Linked DNA regions of Sus scrofa. The protein of the gene in region 1 purifies or fractionates together with the protein of each later gene. This does not show direct contact. Links are inferred from orthologs where the notes say so. Each region holds a gene or a part of one and is shown in the gene's direction. Other genes may lie near its edges. The genes, in order: NLRP3, MAVS, USP50, TRIM31 and NEK7.

Region 1 (5,784 bases):
AATATTTGTTTGAGGTATAGTTGTTTTACTGTATTATATTAGTTTCAGGTGTACAACACAGTGATGTAGATACACACACATGCACACACATATATACTCTTTTTTCAGAATTTTTTCTTTTTTCTCTTAAACATTATTTATTTATTTTACTTTTTGGCTGTGGCATATGGAAGTTCCCTGGCCAGGGACTGAACCCATGCCATAGCAGTGACTCAAGCCATGGTGATGACAATACCAGATCCTTAACCTCAGGTTAACAGATTAGGTAATCCTATACCACATCTTCTTTATTCATTCATCTGTTGATAGACATTTAAGTTGCTTCCATATCTTGGCTATTGTACACAGTGCTGCAATGAACACTGAGGTGCATTTATCTTTTTTTTAAATTTTTTATTACTCAATGAATTTATCACATCTGTAGTTGTACAATGATCATCACAATCCAATTTCACAGGATTTCCATCCCACAACCCAAGCACATCCCCCCACCCCTCAAACCGTCTCCTCTGGAGACCATAAGTATTTCAATGTCTATGAGTCAGCATCTGTTCTGCAAAGAAGTTCAGTCTGTCCTTTTTTCAGATTCCACATGTCAGTGAAAGCATTTGATGTTGGTGACTCATTGTATGGCTGACTTCACTTAGTATGACAATTTCCAAGTCCATCCATGTTGCTAAATTTGCTGGTATTTCGTTCCTTTTAATGGCTGAGTAATATTCCATTGTGTACATGTACCTCATCTTCTGGATCCACTCCTCTGTCGATGGACATTTAGGTTGTTTCCACGTCTTGGCTATTGCAAACAGTGCTGCAATGAACATCGGAGTACATGTGTCTTTGCGAATCATGGTTTTCTCTGGATAGATGCCCAGGGGTGGGAATGTTGGATCAAATGGTAGTTCTATGTTTAGTTTTCTGAGGTATCTCCATACTGTTTTCCACAGTGGCTGTACCAATTTACATTCCCACCAACAGTGTAATAGGGCTCCCTTTTCTCCACCCCCTCTCCAGCCTTTATTGTTTGTAGACTTTTGTCTTTTTTTTTTTTTTTTTTTTTTTTTGCTATTTCTTTGGGCCGCTTCCGCGGCATATGGAGGCTCCCAGGCTGTCTAATTGGAGCTGTAGCCACAGGCCTATAACAGAGCCACAGCAACACGGGATCCGAGCCGCATCTGCAACCTACACCACAGCTCATGGCAACGCCGGATCGTTAACCCACTGAGCAAGGGCAGGGACTGAACCCACAACCTCATGGTTCCTAGTCGGATTCGTTAACCACTGCGCCACGACGGGAACTCCTGTTTGTAGACTTTTGGATGCAGGCCATTCTGGCTGGTGTGAGGTGGTACCTCATCATGGTTTTGATCGTCCTTTCTCTAATAATGAGGGATGTTGAACATCTTTTCATGTGTTTTTTGGCCATCTGTATGTCTTCTTTGGAGAACTGTCTGTTTAGATCTTCTGCTCATGTTTTGATGGGGTTGTTTGTTTTTTTGGTATGGAGCTGCAGAAGGTGTTTATAAATTTTGGAGATGAATCCCTTGTCAGTTGATTGACTTGCAAAGATTTCCTCCCATTCTGTGGGTTGTCTTTTTGTGTTGTTTAGGGTTTCCTTTGCTGTGCAGAAACGTTGAAGTTTGATCAGGTCCCATTTGTTTATTTTTGTTTTTATTGTCAATACTTCTAAGAGGTGGATCTGAGAAGATGTTGCTGTCATTTATGTCAGAGAGTGTTTGGCCTCTGTTTTTCTCTGAGAGTTTTATAGTGTCTGGTCTTCTATCTAGGTCTTTACTCCATTTGGAGTTTATTTTTGTGTGTGGCATTTGGGAGTGTTCTAATTTCATTCTTTTCTATGTGGCTGTCCATTTTTCCCAGCACCACTTATTGAGCAGGCTGTCTTTTCTCCATTGTATATTCTTGCCTCCTTTGTCAGAGAGGAGTTGGCTGCAGGTGCATGGGTTTAATTCTGGGCTTTCTATCCTGTTCCACGAATCTGTATTTCTGTCTTTGTGCCAGTACCATATGGTTTTGACGATTGTTGCTTTGTAGTATATTCTGAAGTCAGGGAGCCTGATTCTTTCAGCTCCCTTTTTCTTTCTCAGGATGTCTTTGGCTATTCTGGGTCTTTTGTGCTTCCAAAAAAATTTTAAAATGCATTTATCTTTTTTTTTAATGATAGTTTTCTCCAGATATATGCCCAAGGATGGGATTGAAGGATTATGTGATGGTTCTATTTTTAGTTTTTTAAGGAACTGCCATACTGTTCTCCATAGTGGTTGTGCCAATTTTCATGCCCAGCAACATCGTAAAGGGTTCCTTTTTCTCCATAGCCTCTCCAGCATTAACTGTTCGTAGGCTTTTTATGATGTGATTATTTTTACTTTTGAAGACTCAGAATGTGGGTAAGATGAATTCCAGGCATTTGTGTCAGAGGAGGATGATTGTGAGTGCTTTGGCCATTGTGGAGATATTGGAGAGTTTGAGGATGGTCTCAAAACCAGAGCACCAGGGAGGGAATTGTTCAGAGACATGAGAATAAGAGAAACCTTCTTTGCCTCATATGTTTGCAATTTGATTTCCAGCCTGGGAGATCTGAGACTGGATACTGTGTGGACACAATGCTAGGTGGGAAGCATTGCTTGGAAATGAGGAGTACAGGATTGTCCCCAACTGAACATTCAACTGAGCTGATTTTGGTTTGGGAGATCTTTAGGGCAGGTGCCTTTGACCTGTGTCAGGTGTTGGATATTGAATCTCCATTACATCATCTTAGGGTTTCTGGGTTTTGATATTTTGCATTTTTCTTCCTTTTATTCCCAGACAATGCAAATCTTTCTGTGATAAGCCAGGAAGAAAGCCTTGAAGAGGAATGGATGGGTTTACTGGGGTACCTTTCCAGAATCTCTATTTGTAAGAAAAAGAAAGGTAAGAAAAGGAGGTGGCATTTCCAATTGGGTTTGGAGACTTGGTTTGGTAGGTACTTGAAGCTGGGAAGCTGGATATCTTGGTGATCCTAACATGTTCCTGTTCCTTGGGGTGAAAAAGTCAATCTCAGCTGAAGAAATAGATTCATGCTGGCATGGCTCCTTGCAGTCTAAGAACCAAGGGTACATAATTAAGTGCTTAAGTCTTTAAAAAGCATGAGCTGCAGAGTATCTAAAGAAGTAAACTGAATAAAAAGTGTTTTCTGGCCTGGAACAGTGCCTATGACACTTGGCTGTTCTGTTCAACAATATATTTCAAAGTTCAATAAAACTTTGAAAATTAAAAAAAAAGTGTAATAAGATTTTGACACTCTAGATTTTCCATTAGGGTGTCAGAATCTTCCATTTGTCCATACCTAAGCAGTGCAGAGAAACTGCAACTTCCATTTCTCAATTTCAGTTACCACTCCTTACACACCACAGGCCCCTGATGAAAGCTTATCTCTGGTGGATGAGCTCAGGCTTTGCCCAAAGTCTAACTTTCTTTTTCTGCCACAGATTATTGTAAGAAGTACAGAAAGCACGTGAGAAGCAGATTCCAGTGCATCAAAGACAGGAATGCACGTCTGGGTGAGAGTGTGAACCTCAACAAACGCTTCACCAGGCTGCGTCTCATCAAGGAACACCGGAGTCAGCAGGAGAGGGAGCATGAGCTCCTTGCCATTGGCAGGACCTCAGCCAAGATGCAAGATGGCCCCGTGAGTTCCCTGAACTTGGAATTGCTGTTTGATCCTGAGGACCAACACTCTGAGCCTGTGCACACGGTAGTATTCCAGGGAGCAGCAGGCATTGGGAAAACAATACTGGCCAGGAAGATCATGTTGGACTGGGCATCAGAGAAACTTTACCAGGAAAAATTTGACTATTTGTTTTACATTCACTGTCGGGAGGTGAGCCTAGGAACTCGGAGGAGCCTGGGAGACCTGATCGCCAGCTGCTGCCCTGGCCCAAACCCACCCATAGGCAAGATTGTGAGCAAGCCTTCCAGGATCCTCTTCCTCATGGATGGCTTTGATGAGCTGCAAGGTGCCTTTGATGAGCGCACAGAGGCACTCTGCACAAACTGGCAGAAGGTGGAGCGGGGAGACATTCTCCTGAGCAGCCTCATCAGAAAAAGACTGCTTCCTGAGGCCTCCCTGCTCATCACCACAAGACCTGTGGCCCTGGAGAAACTTCAGCACTTGCTGGGCCGGGCTCGTCATGTGGAGATTCTGGGTTTCTCAGAGGCCAAGAGGAAGGAATATTTCTTTAAGTATTTTTCAGATGAACAGCAAGCAAGGGAAGCCTTCAGGCTGATTCAGGAGAATGAGGTCCTGTTCACCATGTGCTTTATTCCCCTGGTCTGCTGGATTGTGTGCACTGGGCTGAAACAGCAGATGGATAGCGGCAAGAGTCTTGCCAGGACATCCAAGACCACCACTGCCGTGTATATCTTCTTCCTCTCCACTTTGTTGCAATCTCAAGAAGGGAGCCAGGACCACCACGTCTCTGCCACCCTCTGGGGTCTCTGCTCACTGGCTGCGGATGGAATCTGGAATCAGAAAATCCTGTTTGAGGAGTGTGATCTCAGGAACCATGGCCTGCAGAAGGCAGATGTGTCTGCTTTCCTGAGGATGAACCTATTCCAAAAGGAAGTAGACTGTGAGAAATTCTACAGCTTCATTCACATGACTTTCCAGGAGTTCTTTGCTGCCATGTACTATCTACTGGAAAAGGAGGATCAGGGGGAGATGAGGAATGTGCCACGAAGCTGTTTGAAGCTTCCCAGTCGAGACGTGACAGTTCTTCTTGAAAACTATGGCAAATTTGAAAAGGGGTATCTGATTTTTGTTGTCCGTTTCCTCTTTGGCCTTGTAAACCAGGAGAGAACGTCCTACTTGGAGAAAAAACTGAGTTGTAAGATCTCTCAGAAAATCAGGCTAGAGCTGCTTAAATGGATTGAAGCGAAAGCCAAGGCCAAGAAGCTACAGATTGAGCCCAGCCAGCTGGAATTATTTTACTGTTTGTACGAAATGCAGGAGGAGGACTTTGTGCAAAAGGCCATGGGCCATTTCCCTAAAATTGAGATCAATCTCTCCACCAGAATGGACCATGTAGTTTCTTCTTTTTGTATTGAGAACTGTCGCCATGTGGAATCACTTTCTCTGAGGTTGCTCCATAATTCACCCAAAGAGGAGGAGGAGGAAGAGGAGATAGAGGAGGAGGATGTTCAACACTCTGATGTGGACAATTGTATCCTCTCTGAGTCTCATGTTGCATATTCTCAGCGGTAAGGAGATTCTTGCTAGATGACAGTTACCTTCCTCTGAGGACAGGAGATTGCTTTATATGTTCTAGAAACTTCTAAGGACCAGCAGCCTGGGCATCTACCTGGTGCCTGTTAGAAGTGTCTGATCCTGGACCCATGGAGTCAGAATCTGCATTTTTAAACAATAGCTGCATTTTGGAATGACCTGGAAGTGTTAAAAATTTCAACATGCTTGGTCTCACCTCAGAGATTTTATTCCTGTGTTGTGTCTTGGCTTGGAAATTAAAAAAAATTTTTTTATGGACACACCTTCAGCATATGGATGTTCTCAGGCTAGGGGTTGAATCAGAGCTGCAGCTGCTGGCCTGCACAACAGCCACAGAAATACTGGATCTGAGCTGAATCTGCAAACTACACTGCAGCTTGTGTCCATGCCAGATCCTTAACCTACTGAGTGAGGCCAGGTATTGAACCTCCATCCTTATGGATACAATGTCGGTTTCTTAACCTGATGAGCCATAGTGGAAACTCCTGGCCTAGGGATTTTGA
Region 2 (5,784 bases), on another chromosome or scaffold:
CAGGCCTCTCCCCTGAGCCCTGTCCTTGGACCCTTTCCAGGCTCCATTCTCTCTCCAGCCTAGGCTGCTCTAGGGCTTCTCTTTTGGGGGGCAGCTGAGACCCTGCCTTGTCCAGACCTCACACCATATCCTTTAGACTTTAGCTCTAATAATAATCATTAGAGCTCTTTAGTGGATGCTTCAGGAGGGTCAAGCATGCTGGGCCACCTCTACTGGTCAAGTGTATTAACCCATTTAGAGCTCACAGCTCCCCACCCCCCCTTCTTTTTTTTTGTTTTTTTTAGGGCTGAAACTGTAACATACGGAAGTTCCCAGGCGAGGGGTCAAATTGGAGCCTACATCACAGCCACAGTAACTCCGGATCCGAGCCACAATTGTGACCTCCACCACAGCTCCCAGCAACGCCAGATCTTTAACCCACTGAGCGAGGCCAGGAATCGAACCTGCATCCTCATGAATACTAGTTGGATTCGTTACTGCTGAGCCATGACGGGGAACTCCTCACAGCTCCCTTTTAAGCTGAGTGGGGAGGGGTAGGGCAGGGTGGCTTATGGGCCTCGATGGCTTGCTCTTCACCACTGGGAGATCTGGTTGCCCTACCATGACCAGGTGGGACAAACTGCAGTCCCAGCCCGTCCAGCCTGGAGCAGCCGCTCTGATTCAGCAGACTCTGAGCCTGTGCCTCTAACCCTACTGCTGCTGTCTGCCTGGAGGAACCAAGTTCATGAAGCCCTTTGTGTGCATGGCCCAGCCTCTTGTCTACCCTGTACCTGCTCCACGGCCTTGAAGCCCAGGCAGGATGCTGAAGTAGATGGGACCACACGTGACCAGGGGCTCGTGGGGTGGGAGTGAGCTCACAGGCAGGCCAGTGAGTGGAGCTGTCAGCCCTAGAGGAGGTCCCCTTCTCCCCTGCTGTCCTCCTGTACCATCCGTGGGTTGGGCACTCTGGGGTATGGTGCTAGTTCTTGGCCTGGCCTGGGAATGGGGCCACCCAACCTGGCTTTTCCCCTGCCAGCCTCAGTCTCTCCAGCCCCTTCTTTCTTTCCCAGGAGACTCCAGCATCTCCAGCGCCCATAGGCACTGCTGCTGGAGGCACCTCGCCCTGGCCAGACAGCAACTCTGACCGCTGGGACTCAGAGGAGCCGGAGCTGAGCAAGCCTGGTAGGCTGGTGTCCAGGATGGATAGCCAGCCTTTCTCGGGCTCCTCCGAGGACCTCGCCATCAGCTACAGCAATCCTCTGGGCTCAGGGCCTGACAACACCCCAGAGGAGAACGAGTACGTGTCAGTGGATACTATTAGGATCCAGGGGGACCCCAGCACCCCACCTGTAGGGGACAGCCCGGGGCCACTCACTGCCTCGGAGTTCCAGGCAGAGGAGGAGTTGGAAGAGGGGTTGGAAGAGGTCAAGACTGAGGCTAGGGCTCCGTGGGTTGGGGTGGCGGTGGTTGGGGTGCTTCTGGCCACACTCCTGGCCATGCTGTACCGGCGGCGCCTGCCCCAGTGAGGCTCCTGGGCCCTGTCCACCACGTATCTGTTCCCTTCTCCAAGATACATCTGCCTGAGCCACAGAGCCAAGTTATCCCAGCATCCCTGACCCTTTTGTGGAGCTGGCAGAGGCTGGGTCAGAGGGGAGGCAGGGGGCCCCAGGCTTAGTCCTAGCAGGGAGCATTTCGGTCCCATTGTCCTCTGTGGCTCCCCCACCATCCTTGGCTTTTGGGGACCCGTGCTGCCCTGGGTGCTCCAGACCATCTGGCCATCTGGGTTGTTACCTTTGTCCTCTGGAGGAGGTGCCTCTGTCCCAAGTCCAAGGATCAGGAGGTGCAGCTGGAGACCGCAGGGCGTCAACAACATCCGCTGTCCTGCCCTGATCCCTGGCAGCCCACAGCAGATGGGTGGGGCAGGGGGCCCCACAGGACTTTGCTCCAGCCCCCAGGGGCCCCAGGAACAGCATGGTGGCCCATCTCTAAGGACCTAGTCCCCTGCCTCCCCTGGCACACAAGGATGGGAGGAGGTCCGGAGAGTCCCATGGACCCCTGGGAAGCCTGACCAGCTGCTGGGCCTGAGAACCACCTAAAGAGCCCCTCTCCAGCCCCCGTATCCTGGTCTCTCTTCACCTCCCTATGGGGGCTGGGGAGGGAACACCTGCAGGGCAGAGCTCAGGCCAAGGTGCAGATTTCGGCTCCACCCCTTCCTGGGCTGTGTGGCCTTGGCAGCTCATCAGACTTCTCTGGTCTTGCTCACCCATGTGGACGGTGAGTGTCATGCCTTATCCTTCACTGCCTTCTCCTGAGATTGAAGCCTACATGTCTTTGTCAAGTGCCTGGCTCAGAGCAGGTGGCTGCTAAATGCTTTTCCCCATCTCTCCCTGCCCGGCCTGGTGGAGATGAGGGGTGAGAGGCAGGGAGCCAGGTGGGTAAGGGGGTACCACTGTGCTGTAGGGTGGCCTAGGTCTGCATCCCGCTCTCACTAATTCTGTGCTCTTGGGCAAGATATTAACCTCTCTGTGCCTTAGTTTTCTCACCTGTAAAAAGAGGATGAGTAGTGGAATTTTATATATATAGATACACACGTCCTAGTGTCATAAGGATTAAATGAGTTTATCTATTTAAATCTTAGAATGGTTCCTGGCATTTCATTGACTAAGGGTTGGGTACATGTTTGTCACTATTCAATGTGGAGGGACTGGAGCACTTGGCTACACCGTTAGAAGCAGAGCCAGGCCATACGCCTATGTCCCTTTTATATTTGCCCCTTCCTTTGTCCCGGGCACTGGGGAATTACTGGGGAGGGAGGTCTATCCACTGGGGCAATTCTGCAGGGTGGGGGCTGGGGTGCTCCCCAGCAACCAGATGGATTGGGGGGTACCCTAGTGGGTTCTTTTCAGGCAGCCATTGCTGGACAAGGGGCAGGGACAGGGGCCTCGGGAGCTCCCTTCATTTCTGGGCTCTGCAAGCAGGACCAGAGCCCTGAGGAGACATAAGGGGTGGGCGTCCCTGGGACCCGCCCCCAAGCTGTCAGTCTGCAGGGTCCTGCACCCTGCTTGGGCTGCTACAGCCTTTCTTTGCACTGCCCTAGGGGACCTCAGCAGCCTAATGACCTTGGCTTCTACCTCTAGATTTCTCTTCAACCCTCTCCAAATGGAACAACCTGCACCCTGAAGCTAGGAGTGGTCCCTACCCACGCTGTCTGCAACCACTCCCTATCACCCTTGCTCTTAACCACCCCTCTGTGCTCCTTCTTCACTCCCAGGTATCCAAGTCAGGGAACAATTCATGCACAGGTACTGGTTTTAAAGTGCTACCCTCTCAAGGTGGCTTGGGAACAAAGTATCTCGACAGCAGTGTGTAGACCTAAGGGATGCTACATAAATGGTAGGATTTCAGAATTCCCATCATGGCTCAGAGGAAATGAATCCGACTAGGAACCATGAGGTTGCAGGCTTGATCCCTGGCCTCGCTCAGTGGGCTAAGGATCCAGCATTGCTGTGAGCTGTGGTGTAGTTCACAGATTCAGCTCGGATCTGGCGTTGCTGAGGCTGTGGCGTAGACTGGCAGCTGTAGCTCCAATTAGACCCCTAGCCTGGGAACCTCCATATGGGGGCAGCTCTAAAAAGCAAAAAAAGAAAAAAGGTAGGATTTCAAGTACGGTGACCAGCCAAGGGGGAGATACTTTTTGGATAAGGTGTGTAGAAAGCAGTCAGGGATGTACCTGGTCCTTTGCAAATTATGCTCCCCAGAAGCCCTGACTTGGCCTGCATCGAACAGCACCCCTATTTTGGCTGTTGTTGATCTGAAGGCCTCTAAAATGCCAACTTGAAGCAGGCTTGGGAATTGGCCAGTATATGGAGGCCTGTGGCCAGAAGAGGGCTTGGGGGAGTTGATGGGATGTGTCATATCTCAGGAGTCCTGGGTTTCAGCAGCAAGAGGGTGCGTGTGGGAGGGTTCCTCATCCCCATGGCCTGAGTGATGTGGAGGGAGGGAGGACCAAAGAGGGCCTTTACCCCAAGAGGTGAGCACAGCCACCTCTACCTAGAGGCTTGGAGAAGCACCCTTTACCTTTCAGTAAAGGCTGTGGGGCCAGAGGGGCCAATGGCATCCTAAACACTTACAGCAGCCTCACCTGTAGCCCAGTATACATCCGTATTTAAAAAAAAAAACAAAACACCCTCTCCATCTTTTCTCTCTCCTGTTGAAACATTTCCTGCAAAGCCCAAGAGCCACCAATGCTTCTCTTTTGCTGGGAAATAGCTGTCACCTTTGCTTGATGACCCACTGCAGCCAGACTCACATCACATCCTCACCTTGTTTTCCTGGTTGGATGTACTCAGATTTAACTGACTTAGGGGAATTTCTGGTCAAATATCAGCAAGATGCCCTTTCCTCTTTCAGGCTTTGGGTTGGGTTATTCATAGCTTCTTTTGTTTGTTTATCGGCCACGCCTGTGGCATTGTGGAAGTTCCTGGGTCAGGAATCAAACCTGGGCGATGGCAGCAACCCAAGCCAATGCTGGATCTTTAACCCACTGCACCAGAGGAGAACTCCCGTAGCTTCTAAGCATTTTTTTTTTTTTTTATGAAAAACTTTTAAGCTCACACGGTAGAATAGATAGAATAATACTCCCCACTCCATATGCCCATCATCCAGCATCAGTAATTGTGGACACATGGCTAGTCTTTTTGTTTGTTTGTTTTGTTTTTTGTCTTTTTGGGGCCACACCCACAGCATATGGAGGTGCCCAGGCTAGGGGTCGAATCAAAGCTGTAGCTGCTGGCCAAAGCCTCAGCCACAGCAATGCGTGATCCGAGCCACATCTGTGACTTACACCACAGCTCACAGGCAACACCAGATCTTTAGCCCACTGAGCAAGGCCAGGGATCAAACCTGCATCTTCATGGATATTAGCTGGGTTCATTGCCGCTGAGCCACCAGGAATGCCTCATGGTCAGTCTTGTTCATTCCTGCTTGATTCCCCATTTTTTGTACAGGTGCCTTTTGTAAATCAGGGAGTGAGGAGTTCAAAGCCAAGGGAAAGACTTGGGACAAGAGGATTTTGTGGCAAAGGACCTGTGTTTTCTTCCAAGGTAGCATGAGGTAACAACGAGGCATTCCCCTCTTGGTTTCTTGGCATCGGTGGTGACATCCCTCTTGAACCAGTTCAAAGTGTGAGCAGCACTGGGTCCCTCTCTTAGGAGGAGGGAATCAGAGGGGATTCCTTTACTAACAAGCTCCCCTGAGGTGTCTGGCCACTGCTTCTGTCCCAGAAAGGTGACGATCAATGGGCATGTCCAGTGGCAGTTTGCCCCATTGCATGTGGGGTCTCCTCTAGGCTCTGGCAGAGCCCTTCCAGTGGGCAGACCTTCCCACTCTTGTCCAGATTCAAACTCCACAGCCTGTCTCCTGCTTTTACAGGAGTCTCTTAGGCATGGAGTCATTCAGGCCTTGAGGTCCCTTGCTTTCCACCAATACACTCTGGTGAAGCTGATGGCCAAGGAACATTTTTTCCTGCAGGGAAAGTAGTGTATATTTTCCTGTATAGATCATCACAGAATATTGGGTCAAGTTCCCTGTGCTGCATACAGGTCCCCGTTGGCCAGTCATTCCATAGACCACAGTGTGCTTACACCAATCCCAACCCCCCCAGTCCACCCCTCTCCCTTCTACAAACTATTGTTGCCAAGCGAAATAGGCCTTTGTTGAATTGAATTTAGTTCATGTAACAATCCAAACAATTTGGTCATTGTTTCAGTTGTTTGAGGACCCTCTGTTTCTGGATTTTTTTTTCCC
Region 3 (5,837 bases), on another chromosome or scaffold:
TGTAACCTAAGCCACTTCTTGCGCAACTCCAGATCCTTAACCCACTAAGTGAGGCCAGGGATAGAACCTGCATCCTCAGAGACTAGTCAGGTTCTTAACGCTTTATGAGGCACAATGGGAAAGCCTCCCAAGTCTTTGACTGAAAAAGTTTTTAGTTCACTTTTCTTTCTTGAATAATTTAACTAGAAACCTAATTCTAGATTATCATTTTGAAACTATTTTATTATTTCTCTTTTTGTTTGTTTTTTTTGCCTTTTCTAGGGCCGCTCCCGTGGCATATGGAGTTTCCCAGGCTAGGGGTCGAATCGGAGCTGTAGCCACCGGCCTATGCCAGAGCCACAGCAACATGGGATCCGAGCCACATCTTCGACCTACACCACAACTCACAGCAACACCAGATCCTTAACCCACTCAGCAAGGCCAGGGATCGAACCCTCAACAACATCATGGTTCCTAGTCGGATTTGTTAAACACTGCACCACGCCAGGAACTCCTATTATTTCTGATTTATATGGCTGCTATGGAGTTCTATCATCATGTGGGTAATCTTTTTTTCTGGTTGCTTTAAAGATTTTTCTCTTTGTGTTGTCTTGCAGCACTATTTTTATTTATGCCTGGTTCACTAAATTTGGTATTTATGCTTGGTATAAATTTTTATTTATGCTTTGGTTCACTATGCTTGGTATTTACTAAATTTGAAGATTCATCTTTCATTAATCATTTCTAGTCATTATCACTTTCAATATTGCCTATACTCTATTCTCTGAAACACCTATTAGACATACATTGAATGTCTTCATTCAATTTCCTATTACTACGATATTCAGAGTAATTTCCTCAGTTTCATTTCTATAGTTTATTCATTCTCTGTTCAATTCTATGTACTAGTTAATCTCTACACTGAATTTTTAATTTCAAGTATTATATTTTTCACTTCTAGAAGTTCCTTTCAGGATTCCAAAGTCTGCTTCCTTTTTCTTAAATGTCTATACCTTTTATATAGTCTCTATTTATTGCCTTTTAACTCTTACTCATGGTGAATTGTTTCCTTGTGTGTTCTGTAATACTAAATTGTCAGTTCAGCATTACTAGGTTTTTGTCTTATGTGGGTATCCTGTGCAGCCTGAATTAAATACATCAAACCAGAAAGTAATTATCTTCCCTTTTGCCAAAGGCAACCCCAGAATACTTCTAACATTAAATTCACAAGATTCTGGAGTTCCTGCTATGGCACGGTGAGTTAAAGATCCAGGTCATAGCTGTGGCTCAGATTCAGTTTGTGGCTCGAGAACTTCCATGTGCCATGGGTATGGCCAAAAAAAAAAAAAAAAAATTCACAGGATTCTGAGACACACAGGTAGTGAAAAAAATTTTTTTTTCCAAGGCATGTTGAAGTTCCCAGGCCAGGGAATGAACCCATGCCACAACAACAGATCCTTAACCTTCTGAGCTACCAGGGAATTCCCCAGGTAGTGTAACTTTGAATCCAAACCAAAGAGAAGTCAGTCTGTGGTAACAAGCTTCTAGGAATGACTTTTGTTCTATGTACCCAGAGCCTAAGCTAAGCTAAGCACTGGAGGATGGGTTTTTCTCTCCTAGTTCATTGTTTTATTGAGGACGAATCTCTTTAAGAGTTGTGGTTATGTGTGTGGATCTCCAACCCAACTCCTCGCCTTGCTGGGACCTAAGACTTAACCTCCTCCAGTCCTTAACGCAAGTACCCTGGTTCCAGGAACCAGGGACTGTCTTTACTCCCAGGAAGTCACAACACGAACCACATGCTATGCTAATCTTTTTATTTCTTCTGTTCTTGGCCTCTGGGGATTACTTTCGTTATACAGTCTTTAAAGTTAGCCATATATTTCAAAGGGTATTTAACAGGTTTTCTCCAGCACTTCCATAACTAAGGCTTTCAGGCTAGCTAATTGTCTGCCCAAGTTACTGGGAATGGAAATCTAGAAAGAGGCTTCATTCTCTTTGACTAAGTTTTTTGTTTGTTTGTTTAACAATAAGTCATCCAACTGAACATATTCCAGCTGTGGTCTGTCTAGTCACTTTAAAACACTACTTCATTATCTGGATCCACCAGATGTTTCTGTCAGTCAAATTACAATCACACCATTATAGGCACCATTTTATAAATAAGGAAGCTAAAGAGCCTATCAGCTTAAGGTAACATGGCAAGGACCAGGATCAAAGACTGGATCTTTTATTTATTTTAATTTTTTTTGTCTTTTTGCCTTTTCTAGGGCCGCTTCCCAAGGCATATGGAGTTTCCCAGGCTAGGGGTCTAATCAGAGCTGTAGCCACTGGCCTACGCCAGAGGCACAGCAACGCGGGATCCAAGCCGTGTCTGCAACCTACACCACAGCTCACGGCAACACCAGATCCTTAACCCTCTGAGCAAGGCTAGGGATTGAACCCGCAACCTCATGGTTCCTAGTTGGATTCGTTAACCACTGCGCCACGACGGGAACTCCAAGACTGCATCTTTTAAATGTCAGCTTTGGGATATTTCTCTAACATGTAGGGGGAGAGGGAGGGAAGATGAAGGTCTTAGGAAATATTTAACCAAGTACTTCCTATATGGCAGCACTAAGAGAGAAATAGTAGCCATGTAAGACAAGACAGATCTAATTACCCCATTTTAAACGACAGGGGAATTAAAGCTCAGATGGTTTCCTTAAGGTCACTGTGTAGTATTAGAGCTGAATTCATAGTCAGAATGAATTTAAAAAATCCATTTTCTTCACTCTACCCTAGGGATCAACAAACTTATTCTGTAAAAAGCTAGACAGTAAATATTTTAGGCTCTGCAAGCCATATAGTCTCTAGTCTGTACTGCAATTATTCAACTTTACTGTTGTAGTGTGAGAACAGCCAGCTAAAAACATAAACAAGGAGGAGTTCCCATCATGGCTCAGTGGTTAATGAACCCGACTAGAATCCATGAGGACGTAGGTTCCATCCCTGGCCTCGCTCAGTGGGTTAAGGATCCGGTGTTGCCACGAGCTGTGCTGTAGTTTGCAGAGGCGGCTCGAATCCCGCATTGTTGTGGCTGTGGTGCAGGCCAGCAGCTACAGCTCTGATTCGACCCCTAGCCTGGGAACCTCCATATGCCACAGATGCAGCCTTAAAAAGACAAAGACAAAAACAAAAAAACAAAACAAAAAACATAAACGAGTGAGCATGGCTGGGTTCCCATAAAACTTTATTTAAGGACATTGAAAAATCTGAATTTCATATAATTTATAATTTTCACATGTCACAAAATATTATTCTTTTGACTTTCTTCAACCGTATAAAAATATAAAATGCATTCTTAATTCACAGACCATATACAAACAGGCAGTGGGCTGGCTTTTTGACCCATGCGCAAATAGTTTGTCAACCCCTGGCCTATACCAGACCACCTTCTGAGAAGTGAGGTTCTCCAATGCCTTTGCTTCAGACACTCTTTGACTGGGTTAGGAAAGACATGCGAAAAAGAGGATGGAACAGGTTCTTTTGGGGGGCCTTAGATGACCAGGAGAACTGTTGTTCAAGTACAACAGCCTCAAATTGTGTGGTAGCAATATACAGTTGTTTTCATGTCCTGCTCCAATGTTAAATTTTTTTTTCATGTCGTCAAAATTAAACAATAAGCTCATTTAGGAAAGATTATTATTTTCTTATTTTAAAATTTCCCTTGATGTTTAATAGTCTATGTACAGTACGTGCTCAGTAAGTATTAATGAATAAATATTAGATGCTGCCAAATATTGTCCTACTTCATTCACAGATTCTGTTAAATAATCAATGTACACAATATATAAGTTCAGTGATTAAGAAAAATATAGCAGTCAGGCTATATGTGGGATTTAACTTAACAAAATTACCATTTCCTTTTAATCCAGTATATGGGACAATTAGAAAAAATATTTATTGGCCCTACCTTTTTGATTCCAAGTGTTTAAAGTATTCGAATGTAAATACTAATGCTGACATTCCTTTCTCCTCTAGAACCATTTTGGTGATCTGGATGGTGGCCACTACACTGCTTTCTGCAAGAACTCGGTGACCCAGGCCTGGTATAGCTTTGATGACACACGAGTCAGTGAGATTCCGGACACTTCAGTTCAAACTGCTACAGCGTATCTCCTGTTCTATAGCTGCCAGCCCTTTTCTATACCTATACAAAAATGCAAGAGTTAGGAATATGGTAATTCCTGAAAACTGCAAAACAAGTAGTCAGAAACTGGTACTTAAGTTCTGTACTATCATTAAAACTCTTGCAACTTACCTGCATCACATTTAAGTCTTTCTGGCATATTATGCAAACTTTTATAAGTCTATAACAAAGATGGGTCCTGGACCACCAAAAAAAGGCAGCATAAGAATGATGCAATGCCAATGGGCTGGGAGCCTTCAAAGCACTTAGACTACATATTGTGTTCAGGCTTCAAAGTGCAGTGTTTATTAGGGTATTTATTTATTTTTTACCATAAACTGTCTCATAATTATTTATATCCAAAGAGTTATTTTCCGAAGATATTTCACAGAGCTAAACCGAAATAACTTTTGTTCGAATGGCTCTGTGAGCTTAGAATGTGAGCTGAAAATATTTAATTTGATCAGATAATTTAGCCAAGAAGCTTTAATCTCAGACTACTTGTGGTACATGAAGTCGTCAGTTTCACAATTCAAAACCTATCCTTTCATCTTCTTCCTGGGAGTCCACTAGTGGTGACATCTTTTAGAAGCACCTTTAGAATTTTGTTTTTATATGGAGTGTTTATATTGATTTTATCTGTAACAACTGAGTCCCTGAGGTAAGTGAAATTCTAAGCTCCTCTGTTCCTATTAATAAATCACTTTTTTTTTTTTTCCACTTTTTAGGGCTGCACCCATGGCATATGGAAGTTCCCAGGCTAGAGGTCGAATCAGAGCTACAGCCACCAGCCTACACCGCAGCCACAGCAACTTGAGATCCGAGCCATGTCTGTGAGCTACATCACAGCTCTCGGCAACACCAGATCCTTAACCCACTGAGTGAGGCCAGGGATTGAACCCATGTTCTCGTGGATACTAATCAGATTAGTTTGCCCTGTGCCACAACGGGAACTCCAAATGCATCACTTTATAAAGATGTGGTTTATAATGCAGTTTTGCAGTCATGCCTGACTCTTTTTTTTAAAATCTTAATCCAAAGAATTCTACACTCTTGATAGAATAAGTCTGGTTTTATTATATCTGACTCCCAATCCTGAGACTCGTAAGTGTTATATGTAGTTCGGGGTCAAGATGAAGGAAGAGTGGAATCAACTGATGTAACAGAGTAAGCGAACTAAATTCTAAGTCACTGTAGTGGGATAAAGTGTGTGTATGTGTGTATAAAATCTTTAGTTATTCTGTCCTATGTGTGATAATATAAAATTAAAGACAGAACACTTACAGGATTTTAAATTATTTTTCTCATTAAGATTTTAATGTAGGTGTAAATGAAAATTCTCATTTTAAAAAATTAAAGAAAAGTTTCCATTTATTTTTTTAGAATAAAGGTTTAGTGCACAAATACAGCCCAAAGCCAACAGAAAAAGAGCTTTGCCCTGTCATTTCCCTAAGAAAGCACTGCAGTTACTCAGGATAGGCCAAAAGGAAGAAAAAAAAAGCAATCCTCTGAGATCTAGGCTTCACAAAAGGACCACATATTATACTATGTACATCGATTTGATGTGCAAGTGTGCAATAAATATATACACATACATTCCTATCTGCTTTACATCATTCTAGAGTATTCATAGATCAAGCTGAGATTTGGAAATGTGAAAAGGCCATAACAGTGAAACGGAAAATAA
Region 4 (6,321 bases), on another chromosome or scaffold:
GATACCATTCATCAGCAGGGAAATGCAAATTGAAATCACAATGAGACATCACTCCACACCTGTTAGAATGACCATCACTGAAAAGACAAGTGCCGGCAAGGATGTGGGGCAAAGGGAACCTTGGTGCTCTGTTGGTGAATGTAAATAGGTACAGCAACTGTGGAAAAGAGTTTGGAAGATTCTCCAAAAAATGAAACATGGAACGACCGTATGGTCCAGCAATCCCACTTCTGGGTCTATATCTGAAGGAAAAAGGAAATCAGGAATTCAAAGAGATACCTGCATTCCCTTGGTCATGACAGCATTATTGACAAGAGCCAACACCTGGAAACCACTTAAGTGTCCATCAACAGGAAAATGGATAAAGCAAATGTACGTATGTATATATCTAATATATTTATATTCAGCCATAAAAAGATGGAAATCTTGATTCTTGGCAATATGGATGGACCTTGAGGGCATTCGGCTACGTGAAACATCAGACAAATAGTCTTTGATCTCGATTGTATGTGGAAACTCCACCACACTCATAGAGATAGAGAGTAGGGTGGTGGTTGCCAGGAACTGAGGGGTAGGGGAAATTGGAAAGTGTGGGTCAAAGGGTACAAAGTTTTAGTTATAGGATGACTAAGTTCCCTACTGTACAGTGTTGTGACTATAGTTGTTTTTTTTGTTTTTTCGTTTTTTGTCTTTTTGCCATTTTCCACAGCATATGGAGGTTCCCAGCTAGGGGTCGAATAGGAGCTGTAGCCACCGGCCTACGCCAGAGCCACAGCAATGCAGGATCTGAGCCGTGTCTGCAACCTACACCACAGCTCACGGCAATGCTGGATCCTTAACCCACTGAGCAAGGCCAGGGATCGAACCTGAAACATCATGGTTCCTAGTCGGATTCGTTAACTACTGAGCCACGACGGGAACTTCGTGACTGCAGTTAACCATACTGTATTGTATACTCGAAAGTTGCCTCAAGAATAGATCTTTAATGTTCTCACATTAATAACAACAAAAAGGTAACTATGTGAAGAGAAGGATGTGTGAACTAATCTTATCATGGCAAACATTTCACAATATATACACGTACCAAAGCATCGCACTGTGCACTTAATCCTTCACAATGTTCTATGTCAATTATGTATCAGTAAAGCTGGGGGATGGGGGCGGGTGGGGGAAGGAAGGTCAGATGTCTTCAGGGGCCAGGCAGACAAGAGGGAGGAAGAAGTGGTAGGGGAAATAAAACACCCACCCTCTCTAAAGTCATCCAAATTACCCTTATGTTGAAAATCACCAGGTCAAATAAAACCTGGTTTAATAGTTAAATTCTGCCTCCAGGGGTCAGCAGTTTAAGATGCGTATAAGCTATAAAATATTACGCAAACATTAAGATGCTTTAATTCAACCTCAAAGCAAACAACGAGAAAGATCTTTTCATAACATTTCTGAAACAGAGGTATAATATTTCTGAAAGCCTGTGGCTTGCAACGGTTGCTATAATTAGGGTAATTGTATAATCTGTCATCCAAGCAGGACACTTTTGAGAATGGAAGGAAGTGCTACTCATCACACCAGCACCATCCCAGGCAAACCAGAATATATGATCACTCCGACTATAATCAGAACATCACTCCCAAGCCCTGTCTGACCTAAGATTAGGATCTGGTAAACATGAAGGGGTCACTCCTTGGTGGGGACAGATGGCAGAGAGAGAGGAGGTAAGGGCGGAGGCTGGGATGGAGAGGGAATGGGAAGCGAGAAAGGATCCTTCTCTTACACAAGGAGGCAAGGTTACAATGATGCAAATGGAGGTTGGGGGACACTGGTCGATATTTTCCTGGTCAGGACCGAAGCCCCAGGGGAAGGTGTTTCAGAGATCAGAGAAGCACCAAGAAGCAGGAAGAAATACAGACAAAACAAAGAATGCTCATGGAGACGCTAGAGATGGAAAACATTTGAGAAAAAACCCAAAGAGGACAGATTTGCTACAGGTGCTATGGGGAAGTAAAAGATCAGCCAGGATGGAGAACAGCCCTTTCAGAGAGGAAGTTCCTTGCTCCTCCCACTGTGCTAGGAATCCCCCCCCCAGCCCCGCCCCATGAGGGGAATGGTTGCTTTTCCTTATAAATAATGGGAAAGCCCCTGAGTGGGTGATTACATCTTCCACATTTGCACAAAACTCTTAAAAGGGTAGAGCCAAACTACAAGAGGCAGGGAATTACCCTCTTCCTTCCTTTCCATGTTTTTCCATGGTTCGGGCTCTGCATACAAGAGATGTTCAACGCATCACTGGTGACCTGCTGTGACCTTTCGGGAGGTGACTTCCAGCCCCTCTACTCCCTCCCTGAACAACTGCCAGTGGACTTTGGTGCCCTGGTCCTTCTGATCTCTGTTAATGGCCTCATAAACATATCTTTAATTAGTCCAAGGTTCAGGACAACTTGCCCCATTTTATAAGCAGGATAAATCCATTTACAATATCCATTTGTTCGCGAGAGGTAGTGAGGTAGCATTGCCCATCGGTTTTCTTCTTTATGATAGTCCCTACATTGGTTTTACTCTTTTCTTTTTGCCTTTTTTTTTTTCTGTTTATTTATTTATTTATTTTTTGCTTTTTAGGGCCACACCCGTGGCATAAATAAATTCCCAGGCTAGGGGTCGAATCGGAGGTCGAATCGGAGCTACAGCTGCCAGCCTACACCACAGCCACAGCAACGCAGGCTCCGAGCCATGTCTGTGAGCTACGCCACAACTCATGGCAATGCTGGATCCTTAACCCACTGAGTGAGGCCAGGGATAGAACCCGATCATGGATATGAGTTGTGTTCGCTAACCGCTGAGCCACGATGGGAACTCCTGGTTTTAATCTTTTCTATTATTCTTTTTTTTTTTTTTTAATCTTTTCTATTATTCCTTTTTTTTCTCTAGCACTTCTTTTCCTCCTTCCTGCTTCTCTGATGGACCCTTTGACCTTCATCTCCTCTGTTTCCTCCTTTTGTAGAACCAGTGTCCACAGCAGGATCCTAGACTCTCTGCAGACTTGACGCTGCCGTCGTCTCCATCATGGCTGGTCAGCAGTTTACCAACAAGCTTCAGGAGGAGGTGATCTGCCCCATCTGCATGGATATCCTGCAGGACCCTGCTACCATCGACTGTGGGCACAGTTTCTGCCTCCAATGCATCATGCGGAGCAGGGAAGGATTGGACAGCGTTATTAAATGTCCCCTCTGCAACAAAATTGTGAAGAGGGACACGATAAGGCCCAACTGGCTGTTGGTGAATCTGGTGGAGAAAATCCAAGCTATGGATCCCTCCGAGGAACAGCCAGAAGTGAAAGAGCTGAAGTGTCCGAAGCACGGGGAGAGGTTTCATTACTTCTGTGAGTCCGATGGGAAGGTCCTCTGTGTGGCGTGTTGTGGATCCAAGGACCACAAATTCCACAACACAATTTTGCTAGAAGAAGCTGCCCAGAGTTTTCAGGTAGGCATTTGGGGGTCCCTTCCCTGTTCCCCCACCACAGACCAGGAGTTCAGTGAGGGCCTGGAAACCGTCACCTCCTGCCTCTGGTTTGTACCGCATTGCTGCCATCTTGGCACTTGAGCAGACACTTCACGGTCAGGTCCGGTAGGTTCAAATGTCTGTGTGTGAAGAGCTGATGCCTGTTGAAGCCAAGGGGTAATGGAGAATGGAAAGAATGCAGGGATTTTGAGACAGAAGGTGTGGGTCCAGATTCAGACTCCTGAATTGACTCTGTGACCTTCAAGGAATTCCTTTACCTCTCTGTGCTTCGCCTTTCAAATGGGACAAACAAAATGTATTTTTAAAGAATTGTTGGTATGGGAGTTCCCACCATGGGTCAGTGGTTAACGAATCTGACTAGGAACCATGAGGTTGCGGGTTCGATCCCTGCCCTTGCTCAGTGGGTTAAGGTTCTGGCGTTGCCGTGAGCTGTGGTGTAGGTTGCAGACTCGGCTCGGATCCTGCGTTGGGTGGCTGTGGTGTAGGCTTGGCAGCTACAGCTCCAATTAGACTCCCAGCCTGGGAACCTCCATATGCCGCGGGTGCCGCCCTAGAAAAGGCAAAAAGACCAAAAAAAAAAAAGGAATTGTTGGTATGGCAAATGAGAGGTTTGTGGAAATGCTTCAGTAATCCCAAAGCACATCCAAATATTAGTCATTAATATATTAGTTATAATTTACTAGCACATTCCTTTCTAGTGCATCACTTAGGCTCCGACACTGCACCCCAGCCCCCAGTTTGAACAGCAAAGGTGGCTCTATTAATCTTTATACAAGGATAGAGTTCCCATTGTGGCTCAGTGGTTAATGAATCTGACTAGCATCCATGAGGACGCAGGTTCAATCTGGCCTTGCTCAGTGGGTTAAGGATCTGGCATTGGCGTGAGCTGTGGTGTAGGTTCAGATGTGGTTCAGATCCCGTGTTACTGTGGCTGTGACGTAGGCCGGCAGCTACAGCTCCAATTCGACCCCTAGCCTGGGAACCTCCATATGCTGCAGATGCAGCCTTAAAAAGCAAAAAAAAAAAAAAATCATTACACAAGGATGCACCCACCCTCCAGGGAGATCAGAGGGTGTCATGAGGCCAAGAAAACTCCAGGAATTGCCAAGATAACTCTCTCCCCACAGGGGCAGATTCAATCACAGGTGGAGGCCCTGCTGCAAAAGGAGAGGGCGATCGTTCAAATGAAGTTACAAGGTGACCAGAGGATCACTACCTTGATGGTAAGAAAAAAACTCAGGAGTTTCTGTCATGGCTCAGTGGAAATGAAAATGACTAGAATCCATGAGGATATGGATTCAATCCCTGGCCTCGCTCAGTGGGTTAGAAATCTGGCATTGCCATGAGCTGTGGTGTGGGTCACAGATGCGGCTCAGATCCTGCATTGCTGTGGCTGTGGTGTAGACTGGCAGCTCCAGCTCCTATTTGACCCCTAGCCTAGGAACCTCCATATGCTGTGGGTGCAGCCCCCAAAAGACAAAAAAGACAAAAAACTTTTAAAAAGAAAAAAAAGAAAATGAAGACATTGTAAACCCACCTAATTATCTTTACCTGTGTTGTGTGTGTGTGTGTGTGTGTGTGTGTGTGTGTGCTCACGCACGTGCAGAGGGAAAAAAAATCTGTGTGAAAGCCAATTATAAACTGAAAAGCCTTCTGGAAATGTGAGTACTAGATACCGAAGTATTAAGTGTTAGATATGTAGGTGCTATCAGACAAGAAACATAAACAAGTAACCCCAAACAAAAATGAAGCACATAGTAAGTGCTTTAAAAAATGCTGTTCTCGGGGAGTTCCTGTCATGGCTCAGTGGTTAACGAATCCAACTAGGAACCATGAGGTTGTGGGTTCAGTCCCTGGCCTCGATCACTGGGTTAAGGATCCGGCATTGCCGTGAGCTGTGGTGTGGGTCCCAGACGCTGCTCGGATCTGGTGTTGCTGTGGCTCTGGCGTAGGACGGTGGCTACAGTTCTGATTGGACCCCTAGCCTGGGAACCTCCATATGCCGAGGGAGTGGCCCTAGAAAAGGCAAAAAGACAAAAAAAAAAAAAATGTTGTTTTCTTCCCCTTTCCTTTTCTCCAGGTCTGTCATGCTGCTCAGGATAAACTTAATACAATGGAAACTGAGTAAAAAGGGGTAGAAGGAGCTTTGAGGCCACCCTCGCATCTTCTGAGTGTCCGTTTTCCTTGCCCCCAGGCCCAGGTCGAACAGGAGAAGCAAAAGATCAGCACGGTATTCGAACAGCTGCTTCAGGCGTTGAAGGAGGAGAAGAACTTCCTCCTGTCTCGGATCAACTGGCTGGATCAGGAGCTGACCAAGGACAGGAACTCCTACCTCGCTTCCGCCGAGGCGCAGCTGCAGTCTCTCAGGAAGCTTAAGGATTCCCTGAAGGCCAGGCAGCTTCTGCCGCCCAGAGAGATGCTCCAGGTAAGAGTTCCTGGGGGGCCAAGTTGTAAGGAGCTAGCGTCCCTCCTAGTCACAGCTCAGCGCACTGACCACCTGGCACAATACCAGAGACGGCCACCACTCTCCTGCCCCAGGCCCCGTGCTGCCCAGGACAAGGACGGTGTGAGCCACGGTGTGATTTAGTGCATAATGCACACCATGTATGTCATTTAGAAATATAACAGGATGGAGTTCCCGTCGTGGCTCAGTGGTTAACGGATCCAACTAGGAACCATGAGGTTTCGGGTTCCATCCCTGGCCTTGCTCAGTGGGCTAAGGATCCAGCGTTGCCGTGAGCTGTGGTGTAGGTCGCAGACGCAGCTCTGATCTTGCGTTGCTGTGGCTCTGGCGTAGGCTGGCGGCTA
Region 5 (5,784 bases), on another chromosome or scaffold:
GTTTAAGGACAGTATTTTTTCACATTGGTCGTTTGTAAATTTTGCTAAGTAGGAAACCAATGACATTTTTGTTTTTGAAAGATAATTTTGTATTGACAATCTTTATAAATCTTATGAAGCTAAGAACTTTGCTCTTGAGCTCATTCAGTGTTCATTTTATGTGTATATTCTTCTAACAAATTCACTATAGAAAAATGGGCATGAGTATATACCTGTGGTCTTGAGCTGTTTTAGTTCCTGCCCCCTTAGGCATGATGGCCAACTCTCTCCAAACTCAGCTTTTTGCCCCCATCTTTCTGTAATGTTTTTCTTGCATGTTTGGTTTCATTTGTTCAAAGCAAAGTACAAGTTTGAATTGAAATATGCAATGGAAATATTCATAAAAACTTTTCACATAAATCCCTTTTATTTATTTAGTTTTTAATAATTTAAGTGATATTTTAAATCATCAAGGGTGGTTAAGTATTTAAAAGGAATTCTGTAGTGAAACCTTCTATCAAGAGAAGAATTGTCTTGGCATGAACATAACTACTTCCATGTCTCTAGACTTTTTTTATTCTGGCTTTTCTTAAAATAAAAGTTGACATCCTCCTTCTTCCCCCTCTAGGATAGGAAATTATTTTCTGTACATGTTAATTTTTTGAAATAGGTGGATATCACAAAGATGTAGCCTGCTGTATGTAGCCTGTACCAACTTTAGATACAACAGGGAGACATTTAAGCTATTATGTCAGGTAAAAATCTTGGAATTGTTTTGCTGTGGAAAAGGGTGTGGTTTCTTTTAAATCTGGTAATAGACATGAGTAGGTGGTTTTCTGACTTAGGGTTTTTGCTGGTCAGAGTCTAGTCTGAAGATAATTTTAGTTTTTTTAAAATCTCATCTTTAATTTTTTCAATAGCACTTTAAGAAACAGAAGAGGCTGATTCCTGAGAGAACTGTTTGGAAGTACTTTGTCCAGCTCTGCAGCGCCTTAGAGCACATGCATTCTCGGCGAGTCATGCACCGAGGTGAGCCAAATCCCGAGGAACTTCTAGGGTTGGTTTAAACGATGCAGGTTCCTAGGCAGCTTAAGAATACATGCCTTCTGGTCATCGCATAGTATCATGCCTTCCCAGGTAATTTATTTCCAAATTGTAATTTTACTAGAATGATAAGCCTTTAAGTAAAGCCATATGTGGTTTTAAATAAGAATTAGAATTAATTATTTTTCTGTTGGACTTTTTTTTTTTAGTTTTTTTTTTTTAACTGATTCTGTTAGTAAAGGGAAAAAATAGATGCAGGAGAGCAGTTGAATATGTATAAGGAAGAGAGGTTTTTTTTTTTTTTTAAATGTACAGTATACATCATAGGTACTTAGATTTTTAATTTTCTGCATCCACTCCTAACACGTTCTTGCTTATCAGTCAGATGGTTGGGCAGAATGGGGGAAGGTTACATCACTAAGGAATTGATTCCTTGATTTTGAGATGTGCACAGTTTCAATACAACTTATTTAAGCAATTAAAATTTCTGAGGTCATCTAAGTAAGTAATTATATGCATAATAGAGTTTTGATTTCTAGTTCAAGTAAGCATATCAATAAATTACTATTTGTAAGCTATTTTATTTAAGATTGATTTAAGACTGGCACACATTTATTTTGTGCTTTGAATTTCATAGACGTTTATTTGAAAACAGCAAACAAAATGCATTCTAAGTGAATATGAATAGCCATCCTCCTGCTCCGTCGATGATTATCTATCAGAGGACTGAGAACTCGGAGGTATTCGGATACATGAAAATTACTCAAAATAAGAGGACAGTTTCAAAATTTAGCCTGACTTTCGTTTTAAAGATGTATTTTAAATTCTACAGTTGAGAAGTGGTTTTCAATCCTTTGACTTTGCCTAACCTGACACCATGTTTCACCGGATGCCTTCATTTATTCACAGATATAAAGCCGGCTAATGTGTTCATCACGGCCACTGGGGTGGTCAAACTTGGAGATCTCGGCCTTGGCCGGTTTTTTAGCTCCAAAACCACAGCTGCACATTCGTTAGGTAAGAGATGGTTTCCTTCAATTATCTACCCACTACCTGCCCACCTTTCTTCCCCCACCCCCGTGGTTAAATGTATAAGGGATCTACCATTTATGTGCCAGCTCTTATAGTCTAAATAACACTTTTTAACATCATCAGATCTGAGCCGATACAGGTTTATCAGGTATAATGTGTCCATTCAGGACAGTCGGATACTTTGTTAATTTGACCTCAGGCAGGCGCTTAGTGAAAGACAGTGCTAATGAACCAATCTGGTTGTATTTCCAAGGATCTTTTCTTTTACATGGAGTAATATAGAGATAACATGAAGAACAAACCATATCTTGAAAGAGGACCTCACCTGACCATTAACAATTATTATGGTAGTTTGTAAATGTTTAATTTATTAAAGTAACATACACGGTTGTGATTACTGCAGAGGGGCAACATACATGATCTGTGGCTAATGGGGAAAATACTTCTCAATTAGAAAGTAGAAAGATATCTGTAAGTTATTCATTCTAGAGCTGGCAACATACCAGTTTCCTTCACACCCAAAAGAGAGCCGAATGTAGTTATTAGTACGACATTATATTAATGGAAAGGAGGTTGTCCAGCTTAGAAACAGTAGAAATAAGTTGGCTAGTGGTGCCGTATCTTTTTCATAATTTCATTGAAAACAAGTGATTTTTTTTTTTGGATAAAATTGTTTTTAAATGCAAAATAGTAAATTTCAAATGGCCCAATGAGGAGTAAATGAGTTGCACTAAATAACAAGTAGTGAGACCAGCGTCTGAGTTAGTTGACCAGACATTTTTAAAGTTTGTCTGGGTTTGTTCTAAGGTTCTGTGTGGCCTTGAACGTGTCATTTAACTCCTCTGTATCTACAACAGGATGTGATGCCTAAGTAGGCACCTCATCAATATTTACTGAATGGCAGAATATTGGATCTCAGATGAAGGAGTTGTGGAAAAATAACACTTTACCCTTCACGCAGAGTTTCACTTTTGTCAAGTACTTTGAGGAAGTAAAATTTCAACTGATGCCAAGTAATACTGTTTTTATTTTTTCTTTCACTCTACATTTATTCTTGCAGAGCATTACAGTTTTTTTTTTCCCAGATAAGAAAATTTGATGTGACATTCCATATGAAATGCTTAAATTGGCAAAGCACTGTAATAAAGTTTTATCTGGACTTTCCAACCCTCACAGTGCAAGTAGGAGAGTATTTCTGTGAAGAAAACATCAGAGTGCTCCAAGCCAGTGCCATTTATCATTAGCAACGATAACATGTTGTCACTCTGTTATTCACCTGAACAGCATGTCCTGATAGCACCCTGTCATCAATCTACTTAAAATGCCAGGGCACAGTTACACACACCCACACACACCCACACACACACACACACACACACACACACACACCCTGCATGTACCCATGATCCTGCCCATGCATGTGTATTGTTTAAGTGCTGCTTTGCAAGCTGTCTCCCTGAGCATGCGTTAGTTAGTTGCCTGACCTTAATGATCCAGCATATTATGTGAAACCCAGATCTCACCAGTTTTGAAAATGGATTTCTTTAGCTTGCCTGCTACCACCTCTTACAGTATCTCTGAATGGGGTTTAAAAATATATACGCATCTCTAGATTTAGGTGATATGTTAGTTCAAATTATGTGATATAGAGAATAAAATTTTAGGAGATCTTATAATTCATTAAGAATTTCTGATGTCAGTTTTTATCTAAATCAGTTCATTTAGGGTCTCTTAGTTTTTTATATGTACACACACACACACACACACACAATAAATGAGGATGCCCCAAATTACCAAACATTCTGAAACACATGCTAAGGAAGTAGCAATGAGACTGTTTCTCCGATAAATGAATCAATAGAAAAATAATTTCCTTCACTCATGTTTTGTTTTCCATATTCTTAAAATAAGAAAGCTTTTTATTCCTGCCTGTCTTCTCTGCAAAGATTTTGATGATTTGAAACTGTAAGTTCACGAAGCAAAGTATGGTGAACGTCAAGAATTAAAGTTTGAACTCTAGCCCTCTTTGGACCCAATAAAAATCCTATGTAGAAGGATCAGGAAAAATTCTTTGCTAGCAAATAGTATGTATAAAATAACAAGGATAGAAATCTTAAGACAGGCTTTTCTTTGTTGACCGGTTGACCCTAATTTTTACTTTTAAAGAGGTACTGCTGTCCTGTGTTACCAAGGCGAGACAGAACGATGCTTGGCGAGAGTGGGGATGTTCCATAGGACCTTGATCAAGCCATTTATTAACTTCTCTGAGAAGGGGCACATATCCCTTTGTTGTCTTTCATTTGTCTGTCAACCTTATAAATGGTCAGATACTATAAAATGTGTTTTATGTATACATAAATATGTCTGTATCTTTAAAATTTATGATGAGAACACACCTCTCTCTTGAATCAAGGTTTTGGCTAGACTAGTTAAGAGGCTTTCAAATTTCTTGACATCGACCCCCCAGCAACACGGTGACCCCACGGGAGCACAGCCATGTATGTCTGAAGCAGAAGTTTCATGTAACAGTGTTTTCTGTTACAACTGCAGTTCATTCTGATGTCGTCTGTTCTGTTTTATTTTATGTTACTATAAATAATGTTATTTGCAACCCACTGAATTGATTTCACAACTCGTTAATGGGTTATAACCCGCAATTTGGAAAGCATTAGTCTGTGTTTGCAGTACCTTCGTGCTGTTCCATTTACTTGAAGACAGACTCCCCATTTCTCTAGCTACTGTCAGCCTTCTCCCGACTGGCTGGCTGGCCAGTTCAGTTGGTCAGACATAAACCAGTCATTTGCAGAGTTTCCTGTGCTGCTGGAGGCGGGCAGCAATGTGCACCAGAGACTATAGTTTCAGCTCCCCGAGGTCCTTACAGTTGTGTGTGAGCTCAGGGTGCAAAGTGTTCCTCTCCTGGAGTCCAGGAGACCAGGGCATGGGGGCACACGGCTGTGCGCCTGGAAAGCAGAGAGCCCCAGCGAAAGCAGGGAGCCCCAGCTGCTGCGTCTGGGTTCACTGTCCCACGTGTACTGTGTTTCATCACTGAATGCACCTTGTGCAGTTTTCCCCACTCTGTCTCTGTTTTTTGGCTTGTTGCTACTTGCTTCCATCTGGAGTTACGTTGTTGTGCTTTGCACATTGTGGAGGAGCTGATAGGAGCTGCCCCTGGTCCTGGACTTAACTGCTTTTGCTGCCCATGTCTCAGAAATAAACAGAAAGTGGGCCTATAGGATATTGAAGTCTTTCTTCAGTAACCATTCTGTCTACCCCCAACTTGGGCAGGTATTTCTAAAGGAGTAGCTTTTCTGGACTGAAAACTAAAACGCCGAGACCTGTGAAATAGGAACATGGCAATCAGGGTGTAATTTTTTTTCATTTCACCTTGGATTATTTCGAAATAATCCAAATATATGATTTTTAATGTCAAACTATCTTGGTTTCCTGTAATAATGACCCGGAGGAAACATCTGCTGCTATTAAATGTCAGCAGCATCAGCAGCAGCGAATATGTGTGTAGCATTTTATTATTTGCAAGCAGTTTTAAAGCAAGTTTTCTCCGCTTTCTTGTTCCGCAGTGTCATGCAGTGGGTCGAGTGGGGCTTGTTGTTCATTCTATTGAATACTGAACCTGACGCCCACTCCCACACCATCCCTAGAATTCCTGATCTTTATCCTAGTCTCATTTTTTCTTTTTTCCCAGCATATTCATCTTTGAATATGCTAGTA

Evidence for each region.
Region 2: the proteins of NLRP3 (region 1) and MAVS purify together in Homo sapiens (affinity purification with western blotting; 4 studies listed by BioGRID and IntAct, with this or other methods). This does not show direct contact. The link is inferred for Sus scrofa from reciprocal best matches to the Homo sapiens genes NLRP3 and MAVS.
Region 3: the proteins of NLRP3 (region 1) and USP50 purify together in Homo sapiens (affinity purification with western blotting; 3 studies listed by BioGRID). This does not show direct contact. The link is inferred for Sus scrofa from reciprocal best matches to the Homo sapiens genes NLRP3 and USP50.
Region 4: the proteins of NLRP3 (region 1) and TRIM31 purify together in Homo sapiens (affinity purification with western blotting; 3 studies listed by BioGRID). This does not show direct contact. The link is inferred for Sus scrofa from reciprocal best matches to the Homo sapiens genes NLRP3 and TRIM31.
Region 5: the proteins of NLRP3 (region 1) and NEK7 purify together in Homo sapiens (affinity purification with western blotting; 9 studies listed by BioGRID and IntAct, with this or other methods). This does not show direct contact. The link is inferred for Sus scrofa from reciprocal best matches to the Homo sapiens genes NLRP3 and NEK7.

What each region holds. Positions count from the first base shown.
Region 1 is NC_010444.4:56,966,237-56,972,020, reverse strand, and holds part of NLRP3 (NACHT, LRR and PYD domains-containing protein 3), read left to right. Parts: intron 1-2,823; coding exon 2,824-2,928; intron 2,929-3,485; coding exon 3,486-5,256; intron 5,257-5,784. UniProt on the Homo sapiens protein: Sensor component of the NLRP3 inflammasome, which mediates inflammasome activation in response to defects in membrane integrity, leading to secretion of inflammatory cytokines IL1B and IL18 and pyroptosis.
Region 2 is NC_010459.5:31,851,297-31,857,080, reverse strand, and holds part of MAVS (mitochondrial antiviral-signaling protein), read left to right. Parts: intron 1-1,049; coding exon 1,050-1,505; 3' UTR 1,506-5,784.
Region 3 is NC_010443.5:121,302,836-121,308,672, forward strand, and holds the end of USP50 (inactive ubiquitin carboxyl-terminal hydrolase 50), read left to right. Parts: intron 1-3,195; exon of another isoform or gene 3,196-4,002; coding exon 4,003-4,194; downstream 4,195-5,837. UniProt on the Homo sapiens protein: Deubiquitinating enzyme that removes conjugated ubiquitin from specific proteins to regulate different cellular processes. Regulates the inflammasome signaling pathway by deubiquitinating 'Lys-63'-linked polyubiquitination of the PYCARD/ASC adapter protein.
Region 4 is NC_010449.5:22,677,770-22,684,090, reverse strand, and holds the start of TRIM31 (E3 ubiquitin-protein ligase TRIM31), read left to right. Parts: upstream 1-2,859; 5' UTR 2,860-3,057; coding exon 3,058-3,474; intron 3,475-4,640; coding exon 4,641-4,736; intron 4,737-5,707; coding exon 5,708-5,938; intron 5,939-6,321.
Region 5 is NC_010452.4:21,076,685-21,082,468, forward strand, and holds part of NEK7 (serine/threonine-protein kinase Nek7), read left to right. Parts: intron 1-899; coding exon 900-1,008; intron 1,009-1,932; coding exon 1,933-2,040; intron 2,041-5,784. UniProt on the Homo sapiens protein: Protein kinase which plays an important role in mitotic cell cycle progression. Required for microtubule nucleation activity of the centrosome, robust mitotic spindle formation and cytokinesis.